Linked DNA regions of Astyanax mexicanus. The protein of the gene in region 1 purifies or fractionates together with the protein of each later gene. This does not show direct contact. Links are inferred from orthologs where the notes say so. Each region holds a gene or a part of one and is shown in the gene's direction. Other genes may lie near its edges. The genes, in order: slc6a15, golga5 and klhl36.

The links.
Region 2: the proteins of slc6a15 (region 1) and golga5 purify together in Homo sapiens (co-immunoprecipitation; 3 studies listed by BioGRID and IntAct, counting the BioPlex papers as one, with this or other methods). This does not show direct contact. The link is inferred for Astyanax mexicanus from reciprocal best matches to the Homo sapiens genes SLC6A15 and GOLGA5.
Region 3: the proteins of slc6a15 (region 1) and klhl36 purify together in Homo sapiens (co-immunoprecipitation; 3 studies listed by BioGRID and IntAct, counting the BioPlex papers as one, with this or other methods). This does not show direct contact. The link is inferred for Astyanax mexicanus from reciprocal best matches to the Homo sapiens genes SLC6A15 and KLHL36.

Annotation. Positions count from the first base shown.
Region 1 is NC_064416.1:21,350,913-21,354,669, reverse strand, and holds the start of slc6a15 (sodium-dependent neutral amino acid transporter B(0)AT2), read left to right. Parts: upstream 1-1,071; 5' UTR 1,072-1,265; intron 1,266-3,757.
Region 2 is NC_064414.1:7,827,847-7,831,603, reverse strand, and holds the start of golga5 (golgin subfamily A member 5), read left to right. Parts: upstream 1-1,000; 5' UTR 1,001-1,196; intron 1,197-2,094; exon of another isoform or gene 2,095-2,740; intron 2,741-2,851; 5' UTR 2,852-2,859; coding exon 2,860-3,538; intron 3,539-3,757. UniProt on the Homo sapiens protein: Involved in maintaining Golgi structure. Stimulates the formation of Golgi stacks and ribbons. Involved in intra-Golgi retrograde transport.
Region 3 is NC_064416.1:17,483,500-17,487,256, forward strand, and holds the start of klhl36 (kelch-like protein 36), read left to right. Parts: upstream 1-902; 5' UTR 903-1,038; coding exon 1,039-1,041; intron 1,042-2,776; coding exon 2,777-2,860; intron 2,861-2,971; coding exon 2,972-3,757.

The DNA of each region.
Region 1 (3,757 bases):
TTCAGCTATTTCTCATTTTCTGCAAATAGATGCTTTAAATTACAACATTTTTGTTTGAAAATTGGGGAAAATGTCCGTAGTTTATATAATAAATCAACAATGTTCATTTAACTCAAACATATACCTATAGATAGTTAAATAAATGTCCGTAGTTTATATAATAAATCAACAATGTTCATTTTACTCAAGCATATACCTATAGATAGTTAAATCAGACAAACTGATTCAGAAACTGAAGTAGTCTCTTTATTTTTTTTCCAGAGCTATATATATATAATTAGAGGCTTATACTATAGGACAGAGTGGCTGTCCCACATAGATCTGAAATGCACTCTCAGACTAAATCAATATTGGAGCTCGCTTAGGTTTGATCTGGTTGCTGGGGGCAAAACTGTGAAACAGTGGAGCTTGTGGCACAAACAAATTTTGATTAAATATAGAGAACGCTTATATCAATACATTATACAGGCTTACTAATCAGAATGACCAGCATTTGTAAATGAGGGAGTGAATGAGTGTATGTGTGTGTGTGTGTGTGTGTGTGTGTGTGTGTGTGTGAGAGAGAGATGGAGGGGGTGAGAGAGAGAGCGCATAAAGCAACAGTACACCATATATAATCAGACTTGCAATAGGTTACCGGTCATTCTTGCAAAATATGTAGGTTATTATATTGACTGTATTTTTTAATATTAATTATATTTACATGGGTAAATAAATGCGATACTCATGGTCGTTAGATATAGAACACACGTCATTTGATACATTTACTGATACATATATTATAAGAGAAAGGCGGGATATCGCGTGCATGGCCTCGAGAGCGAAATCCACCCACATGAACCATCTTAGCGTGTGCACCATGTAGTAGACTGAACCACTCGCTTTAGTAAGGGGGGAGGGATGTTGGGAGATCCATTTTGCCCCGTTTAACGTAACTTAAATTGTAATTTAAAATTCGTTTTTAAGGTAATTCAATACATTAAACGTGTTTTACCTTTTGTAAAATATTTTAAATCAGCAGGCTGTTGGTTTGTGGTTCGCTGCTGAAAGCCCGCTCCCCCCTCAGCATATCCGTTTGAATGAATGTCACTGAAGGCGAAGCGTCTTGTGAGCAGCACCGGCGGAATCATTAGAATTAGATACAGGAGGAGAGATGCGTAATGCTGACCGGCTCCCGCAGATTTCACTAAATATAATATAAATACTTATTACGGGCTAAAGGAAGCCGTTACACTTATTGAACACGTTTTGTTTAACCCGGGAAGGTAAGAATATCTGTTTTCTCGTGATTTTTTTTGTACAGAGGGGGAAGGATGCGCCAGCAGCCAGCCAGCCTCACAGTGCAGTCAGTGCACAGTGTATGATGAAATACGCCACATGGATGGCACAGGGAATTTGGGCGGGGAATCTGATTAATTCTTCTTCAACCCATTTGGAAAGAAAATGCATATATCTGAAATAACTATTATTTTCTTCTTCAAAAAAATCGCTTTTTATTAAAAAAATGAATGAAATGTTGATTATTTTAATACTTGCTATATAAATTCAACCAGCAACCTTACCTATAGCTACCACTATAACGCTAGTTAACCTGCGATGACTGTGTGCTATAGAAATTGAATGATGGTGAGCTCCATATGGTGAAACCATTTCTAGCTAGGTTATTTTAGTGACGACCCTCTACAATTTGATTTAAAGCTTATGTAGCAGTGTTTTCATTTGTGTTTAAACATGAATTAGATTTTACAATATTTAAGGTGATATTCTTATATTAATATTTTGCTACTTTGTGTATAAATGTGTATAAAGGAAACGCGTTTAGTGAAGGCTAATCCTGGTGATGAGCTCTGTAAGCTGCTATGGAGGGTAGCAGCAATTTGCCGTGTGTGTTTTTTGAACACACTTCACCGCTGTAAAATCACGGGGTTAGCCTACTTTTAGCTCTAGATGGTAAAAGATCGGTGTAGCAGGTGTGTGTGATCCGCTTTTCCCCAGAAACAGTAAAACAGTGTATCAGTGAGGGTCTGAGCACGGTGCGCTTCTCAGATTGGCCGCTGAGCGATGCTGAGCAGTGTTTGGGTTCTTATGCAAATGAACCTCGTGCTTGTGGGCTCCGGTATCATCAGAGCGCAGGGGAAAGAAAGAGGATCGTTTCAGAGCAAAGCTCGCGATTAAATAGGTCAACCGGACAGATATCTGACAAGTAGTCGTGATTGCATAACTGGGGATGTCGGTAGGCTGTGCTGTGATCTGAAGACATCATATATTGAATGCATGAATACTGATCCAGCTGATGTGCTGAGCATTGTGAAACGAATTACTCTATTGCATCACCTATACTCTATTGCATATATATATACATATATATATATATATATATATATATATATATATATATATATATATATATATATATATATATGTATGTATATATATATATACATATATATATGTATATATATGTGTGTATATATATATATAGATCACTAAATGATAAGTTTCATTGATTTTACCAAATTGAAAACCTATAAAATCAAGAGGAAAATAGATGATTAGAAGCCATCAAACCAAGCTAAACTGCTTGAAGTTTTGCACCAGGAGTGTTATCCAAAAACAGTGTGTAAGACTGGTGAAGGAGATCATGCCAAGATGAAACATTGTTAACTGTTATTAAACTGTGATTAAAAACCAGAGTTATTCCAGTTGTGCTTAAAGCTTTATGAATATGAACTTGTTTTTTTTTTTTGCTTTATTTGAGGTCTGAAAGCTCTGCATCTATTTTGTTATTTCAGCCATTTCTCATTTTCTGCAAATAAATACTCAAAATGACAATATTTTTATTTGAACTTTGGGAAAAATGTTGTCTGTAGTTTATAAAATAAAACAACACTTTTCACTTTACTCAATGTTTAGCTACATATGTTTAGTAAAAAAATATTCTGTTACAGTTCATTTTGGAGCATTTCTTTTAGTCCATTCATCATTAAATTTTGAAACAATGTAAAAAACAACTGCCAGATACAAATGTGTACACATGCTGGTACACTGTGCTGTGTTGAGCATTGTGAAACTAGTTTCTGTATTGCATCACCTAATCACCAATCTCTAATTGTGTGTGTATATATGATATATTATATTATGTGTGTGTATAATTTTTCACCATTAATAAAAAAAGGCAATACTTTTGTTTTAATTATGCTATGTTAGGACAATGTAGGCTAAAATGTGAAGCACAAAAACACATGCTTTCTTTTTAGTCTATTCATAATTAAGTTTTGATGTAAAGAATGTAAGGAACTACTGCCAAATACACATTATGTATTGATGTGTACACATACATTACTTATAAAATGGAGACACAATGTTATGTTGGGACAATGTATAGCTTCATGCTTTAAAACAGATATGAGCAATGGCCAAGTCTGATCTCACAGCTTCACTGTTTTTTTTTTTTATAAAGTTGAATTTTTAACAATTGCAGTACACATTATTGTGTATAGTATCATTGTATCTCGTAATTGATCGAATAGTAACTCCTGTATCATGATACACATTGTATCGCAAACTTCTTACCAATACACAGCCTAATTCCATATACCGGTAGTTTACTTTTTTCCCTTGATTTTTATTGGTAATCTCTAAAGATCTGCTGATGTATTTAGTAATATGTTTAACTAATTACTAACCGAAACAGGGTAAACAAAAACCTGTCATTACCATCACTAGATGACATTACCATATGTTGATGATGACCTGT
Region 2 (3,757 bases), on another chromosome or scaffold:
AAAAGCTAAGAAAATATACCTGGATTTTACTACAGAAAACGGGTTTTATGCAGTGAAGACGCTAGCATTACGGCTAATGCTAACTAACTTATGAGCTAATTTTGCTGGTGAGCTCATGATGAAGTAACAGCTAGAACACTGAGTTCAGATGTATACATTTGGGGTTTTAAAGCGTTAAAAAACGCTGAAACATTTGATATCGTTTTATGTTGAGAAAAATTAACACATGAGTATTTTATATTATTTTATCTAGGATTTGTACAGTAAGGGGCCACAACATTCATAGAGGGGCCAAGTATTAATCCACCAGTCACACCAAGTTCAAACTGCGGAGCATCATGTTAAAAAAATAATGCATGGTCACAACTTATTTAGGCGAAGGAACGAGATCCTAATGCGTGGGAACAAGAAACCAATTCACTCTCCATTTTCTTACAAAAGATTATTCTTGAATTGGAGCTTTGATGTAATATTCAGTCTTCTTCATTGGCATTAATTTACAGAAAAGCAAGCTTTATTATTCTCTGGCTACTATCTCATTCCCACATCTTAATAGGTCATGGCCACAATTTAATTATCTCATTTCCACACATAAGGATCTTGTTCCCACGCCTTAATTAGTCATGGCTAGCATTAGAATCTTGCTTATTTTTTTTACATGATGTCACCACTTTATATCAAACACTTGAAATTTGTAATAAAAAAGGTAATTTAAAAAATCTTTTTCGATTTTCTTTCTATTTTTGTAGATATTGTCTGCTTTTGGAATCTCTTCGTTTGTTTCTGCTCATTTTATTTGTATAAAATCTGCGATTTATTTGCAACTTTAATATTTTTGAGGAAAAAAAAACTTTTAACACAAAGTTAACTATAAAAATCTCCTTAGCAATTTTAAATGCATTTTTGCTGTGTTAGAGTGGTGTTGGTTGGTGGAGCTGGTTAGGCAGCAGCAGTAGGGGGCAGCAGCGCTCTGCCTGCCCGGTAAACACACTCTGAGCTCCGGTCCTTTAACGCGTCTCTGGGCCACGTAGAGCCGGATTTCAGCTGATGCTGATAGGAGAGGAATGACAACATTAGCGCTGGCTGTTGTCAGAGTTCCGCGGATAACAGTGGGTGGGGCTGGGTCCCGAGTTATTGGAGAAAAATGCCTTTAAACGAGTTCTGCCTCTCTCTTCAGATAAACTGAAACACTTCAGGTACGACATTAAACCATTTAATATCCACATCACTGAGGGAAGCTAAGCTAAAGCTAAACCAGGCTAGGCTAAGACTCCCTGACTGCTCTGTTTACCAAGTTCACCTACTATAACTAGTTTAGCTAACGTTATATTTCTAAAGCTGCTGCCGTTTATTTGTTGAATATGAAGTCATAAAACACAGTAGCTAGCTATTGTTTAACTCTATAGTTGTTAAAGTTATCGTAATTTAACAGTGTTTATGCTGGTATGTTGAGTAGTTAACCTAGCTAGCTAATGTAGCTAATACTTTTTTTTAAATTATGTTTATTATTAACTGTTTTTGGAAGGATTGCCCCATTTCTTCGTTAGAGTTTAGTTATTTAGCCAGCTTAGCTAGTTGGATATATTGATTGTTTGCTTAGTTATTGATTAAAGAGTCCTGTTGTGCCATGGCACAATCAGAACAATCCTGTTAACCCTTAGCTAGCTTGTAATTAGACTGGTTTGGGTGTGCCTACATCATATATTCAGATTTAGCTAACCTATCTAGCCAAGATATAAACGACCTTCTGTATACTGTAGCTATTTACTTGACAAGTCAAATAGATCATAATGGATAATTATGTTACTGTATTGGTAGGACAAGGGACTCTTATTATGTAAGAAACAGTAAGGGCTGTGGTGTTGAATGAGGGTAATGACTGGTAAGAGGTCGTTTAAAACAGGTTGACAGGTGTTCAACAAATCTGTTTAGTTTTATCAAGAGGATAAATGAATGGCAGCTTGAATAAGTGCCTTAATGTTATGTTATTATATACAGTATCAGGCAAAAGTTCAACACACCTTCTCATTTTTATTAATATTTTTTCTTTAGTTCTTTAGCTTCCTTAGACAAGTAAGTTCAAACAAAAATATTTTTTAGCTCTGTTGTCAGGTGTACTCTAAAAGTTTAAAGTAAAGCTGTAGATAATTCCTACAGCTATGTAATACGTTACAAATCTTGCTCCATGTTAAACTACACAGAATTATGCACTGATCCAGGAGGCAGGACCTTCTTCCTGTATTTACTTTCTTGGTCCCGCCCTATAAAGTTCTGACCAATAAGTATAGAGAATATTTTGATGTGTAAGTTGTAGTGATTGGCTGTAGTGTATTGTGCCTCATTTAGAAATGTAGCCAGGCTGAAACAGATCAGAATAACAATGGTAAAACCTAATAAGGGATTGGCTGAATCATTGGAGACATGTAAATTTGTTGTTTTTTTCTGACATCACAAAACAATGCATTTCAAATGGCTTAGTTAATATGTCAAGTCAAGTCAAGAGGCTTTTATTGTCATTACACCTGAGTACAGATAAACAGTGTAACGAAACTCTGTTTCTCCGGAACCATGATGCAACATAGAACAACAATACAATAGACAAACATTAAGTGAAAGAGTGTACGAAAAAGTGCAACAGAAAAACTATAACACTACAATAAATACAGCAGATGAGACAATTTAACAGACAGGACATGATGATGATGACATAATCATGATGGCTTGCTTTTAGCTGCTAAAGGTAATTGCAAAACATCTCATTTTAAAACGTAGCAGGTTTAACAAGAATCAGAGAATATGCAAGTATTAGAATCGGGCTTTGTCTGGTAACCACAAATTATTGTCTTCTCAGCCCTCAGGATGTCTTGGTTCACTGATCTGGCAGGCCGAGCCGAGGACTTCTTAAACAAAGTGGACCAGGGAGCAGCCACAGCTCTGACCAAAAATTCGACTCGAAAATCCTCCCTGTCATCCTACAGCCCTGAGGACTCTGTTGACCCTCTTGCTCAGCAGGGTTCCGCAGGCTATAGGGCTTCTTTTCAGCCCCAGCATGAGTACCCTGGTCCATCCTCCAACCAGGAGACACATGGATTTATCTCTGCAGCAGCTGGGAACATTAAGAAATCCAAAGCCACTGTGCTCGCCGGCACTTCCAATGTGTACAGCTCAACTCAGCTGGGCTCTGCCCCTTCCGGCAGTGGCAGCTCTTCTGTTAGAGCCTCCTCCAATTTTGTCAGGCCCAAAAAACCTGAGGTGGATGATGATCTCCTATTTGACTTCCTGAACAGCTCAGATCCACCACAAAGTGAGAGAATGGAGTCTAGGAGAGATACATCGTCCAGTGTGATGAGCATGGAAGGTCTGGCTCAGGGACAGGTAATGGCTGGATCAGTCACTGCCGCTCCCCAGGGTGTCCCCTCGACACCAGCTACCCCACCTTCTACACGGGGTCTGTCCAGAAACTCCAGCCTCAGCTCACTCAGCGCCAGCACGCACAGTGCCAAGACTGAGGACGGCTCTGCCCGAGACTTCAGCCAAGGTACCACCATGCATAACCAGCAGTTTAGTCCAAAACCTGACCCAAAGAGATACATTTTCTATGTCTTTTCCTTGCTGTGTGTATAGTTCTGATTAATCTTCCTACATCAGAGCCAGGTTATGCAGTCTTAGTAAAGCGATTACATCATCTGTTTTTGGCAGTGCAGCTACAGTTAAACAAATTGTTCAGCAAAAATACACCCAAATTTGTTTAAATGTA
Region 3 (3,757 bases), about 3.9 Mb from region 1:
ATTTTGAGATACTAAGTCATTATTGTGAGATACTAAGTTATTATTTCAAGATGCTATTCCATTATTTTGATATTTTATTACTTTGTGATATTAAGTATATTTTGAAACAAGTTATTATTTTGAGATACTAAGTCATTATTTTAAAATAGTAAGTTATTATTTTAAGATGATATCTCATTATTTTGATACACTTTGTCATTATATTGAAATGCTATCTTATTATTTTGAAATACATTACTTTATGAAAAGTCATTATTTTGCAGTACTAGTCATTATTCTGAGGTGCAATTTTGAAATACTAAGTCGTTATTTTAAAATGCTATTTTGATATACTATTATATTAAAATATTAAGCCATTATTTCGAGATGCTCTCATTGTTTTGATAAGGCGTTATTTTGAGATGTGATAATTTTGAGATGTTATGTCAAGATTTTGAGATGCTTTCTCATTATGTTTAGATGCTGTCATTGTTTTGAGATGCTAAGTCGTTATGTTGAGATGCTTTTTCTTATCTCATTATTTTGAAATGCCATCTATAATAAAATACACCTGGCAGTTTACTGCAGAATTCTGTACACTGATTTTTTTTTTCATTTTCAGTTATTACATGACGTGAAGAGCTTAAATGGCAAAAAACACATTTGTATTCTTGTACTGAGTTTTAAGGTGTAGAAAGGGACGTTTAAATATTTTTAATAAATAAAATAATTATTATGGAGGGTATTATTAATTTTTCAAATATGTAATGCAATTCAAAAATGAAGGTTTATCCAGGGTTCTTGGATGTGAGTGATGTATCTGTGGATTACACTGGTGAGATTTGATCCACGTTAATAGTCTTTGTTGTACAATGCATGTCAGTGTGTCAGGGGTGGGACTTTTATTATGAAAAGTAGCTATAGGTTCCAAAACGAGGTAGCTGGGCTAGCTAAAGTGTAGAAGTGAGTTTCACTGGTCCTGAAGCTTTTCACGAGCGAAACTGTTAATAATAATTAACCTACAGCGTTTTTCGAGCTCTTCGGGAAGACAATGACACAATGGTAAAATTATCTCGTCTTCTTATTAGCTGGTTGTCATCACAGAAAGATGAGAAGAATCGCTGCAGATTTGTCAGGCTAGCGAACTATTGTAGTGCCTGTGTGTGAGGCTCTGTTATTCCTAGTGTTATTTTTCCTGATTTAACTTTCCAGTGAGAATAATAGTTAGTTAAGTAACACAGTTTCTGTTTTATCGCAGAGTATAGTGTGTTCTAAATGCCGTAAGCTTGCACATTTCTTCTTAATTCTTTAAATTAAGTTTCTGTGTCAATAAAAACTGTTTTAATGTGCCTGTCTTTAGCCAGCTAGCCATCGACTTTACTCTCAGCAGGTCTGCAGAAATCTTGTTTTAAAGGGACAAAGATTTTAAACTATTTTTTTAAACCCTACAGTGTGGACAGTTTTAGTTTATTGCATTAAGTATGTATAACAGGTATTGTAGGAATTGTATATCTATATTACCGGGCATTCGGTCGACTGTAAGTTTAGTAACTAGTTAATAAACATAGCTTATAAACTGCTGGATGCCACTTTTCTGTCTATCACTCTTCTGTCTATCTCTTTGTCTCTCTGCCTGTCTATCTCTCTGTCTCTCTCTTTATCTCTCTCTCTGTGTCTCTCTCTATCTGTCGCTCAACGTTGATTTTATGTTTAAATCAACATTGGATTTGGTGTTGATTTTGAAGTGAATCAATGCTGTTATGGTCACCTTCTTTCAACGTCGTACGTTTTAGCTTAAAATTGTATGAATTATGAAAAAAAGTTTTATTTTAATTCTTGCTCTCTCTCTGCATATACATATCTGAGAAATAGGAACTGTACAACTACAAACAAAAAGCTTCAATTACTACAAGTGGCTAAAACTAAAAAGTCTTAAAGTTAAACTTACATCACTGTAGTAAAGCTGAGTATAAAGAATTTTACCCACTACTACCAATCTGACTGAACAGCTGATCTCAAAAACACAACAGTAAACATCAACATACCACCAGAATTGGTGCCAAACTAAAAAGCAATCACTACAAATAGAAGTAAATCACTTTTTCATCCCTTCATCCAGCTGTTTTTTGAAATTGTATGGTGATGAAATGTAAAATGCTAATTCAAAAGGTAGAATTAGATTGATTCAACAAATAAAACAACATGTAATGTTGTTTTAACATTGAAACAACAACAGACCTTTCTTCAGCCATATTTCAACCACATTTTAACGTTAAAGGTCGGTTCTCTCTCTTTCTCTCTCTCTCACTCTCAAACTCTCTCTGCATGTAGGAATACCTCATCTTCTCTTGTAGAAGTAGCTAATCCAAGTGTATTTCTTTCTATGATTGGTGTGTGGCTAAAGCTACACTACACAGACTCCAGTTGGTATATTTGTTTAATAAAAATGAATACTGTCCAATATTGTAATGTAATGTTATGTAGTTTTAAAACATACTGCTTCTACCCCTTTTTTAATTAAATATTAAATTTTAATAATTGAACATAAATTTACTAAAGGCACATTTAAAGAAATAAATGTTATTAAATGTAATTAACCGAAAAGTAAGTTCATACTATTTTCATTTGTTTTACATTAGAAAAAAAAAGTTTTCCTCAATCAGCTCAGAATGATTATGACAATTTGTATACTGATTCAGAATATTTAATGAGAAAACAATTTGTTTTTCCACCCCTCTATTTCACCTTCAGTTTGTCTATATGTTTGAGACTATTATATCGTTCTTTCACTTTGTAGATAGTTTTAGAGGGAGATGACATGATGGATGGTGGGAGGCAGGCTCGTCTTTCACGCCCACACAGAATCAGCGAGTCTTCAAAGGTGTGTGAAATCCTCCTCAGAAAGTGTGAAATGTTACAAATTTTAAAGCATTTTCATTAAATCTCATGTATCATGATTCTCCATCTGCTCGCATGTTATTTTTTTTAACAGGTTTATCGATGGCCAGACCAAGCTAGCTATCTCCTTCAGGGTTTGAATGAGCAGCGAGAGTGTGGTCAGCTGTGTGACGTGGTCTTGGTGGCCAATGACCAACGGGTGGCTGCGCACCGTGCCCTGCTGGCAGTTTCCAGTCCTTACTTCCAGGCCATGTTCACCCTCGGCATGCGGGAGGAGCGTCAAGCCGAGGTGGAGCTGGTTGGAGCCTCCTACGTTGGTGTGAAGGCAGTTGTGGACTTTTTGTACAGCGGTGAGTTGCCTTTGGATGGTGGGAACATTGACTATGTGCTTGAGACAGCTCACTTATTGCAAGTGTGGCAGGCAGTGGATTTCTGCTGCCAGTACCTGGAGAAGGAGGTAAGCGAGGAGAACTATCTATACCTTCAGGAACTGGCCTTACTTTACAGCCTAGACAGGCTGGATGCCTTCATAGACCACTTCATCCTGGAACGGTTCTCCACACTGTCTTTCACGCCTGAGTTCTTGAGGGATGTGCGTTTGTCCAAGCTGTGCTCATACCTGGCGAGTGAGCAGGTACAGAATGAGAGTGAACAGGCACTTCTTCAGGCTTCTTTGCAGTGGCTGACCCAAAGACCTGAGCGCTCAGCTTTCGCTTGCCAGCTCTTGTCCAACATTCGCTTTGCACTGATCCCTCTGGATGAGCTCATGGAACAGGTGTTGCCTGCAGTGCGCTCCCTGCTGCCTTCAGACTCTGGTTGCGAAGCTCTGGTGGAGGAGGCACTAGGCTACCATGCCCGTGTCAGTGCCCAGCCTGTGCTG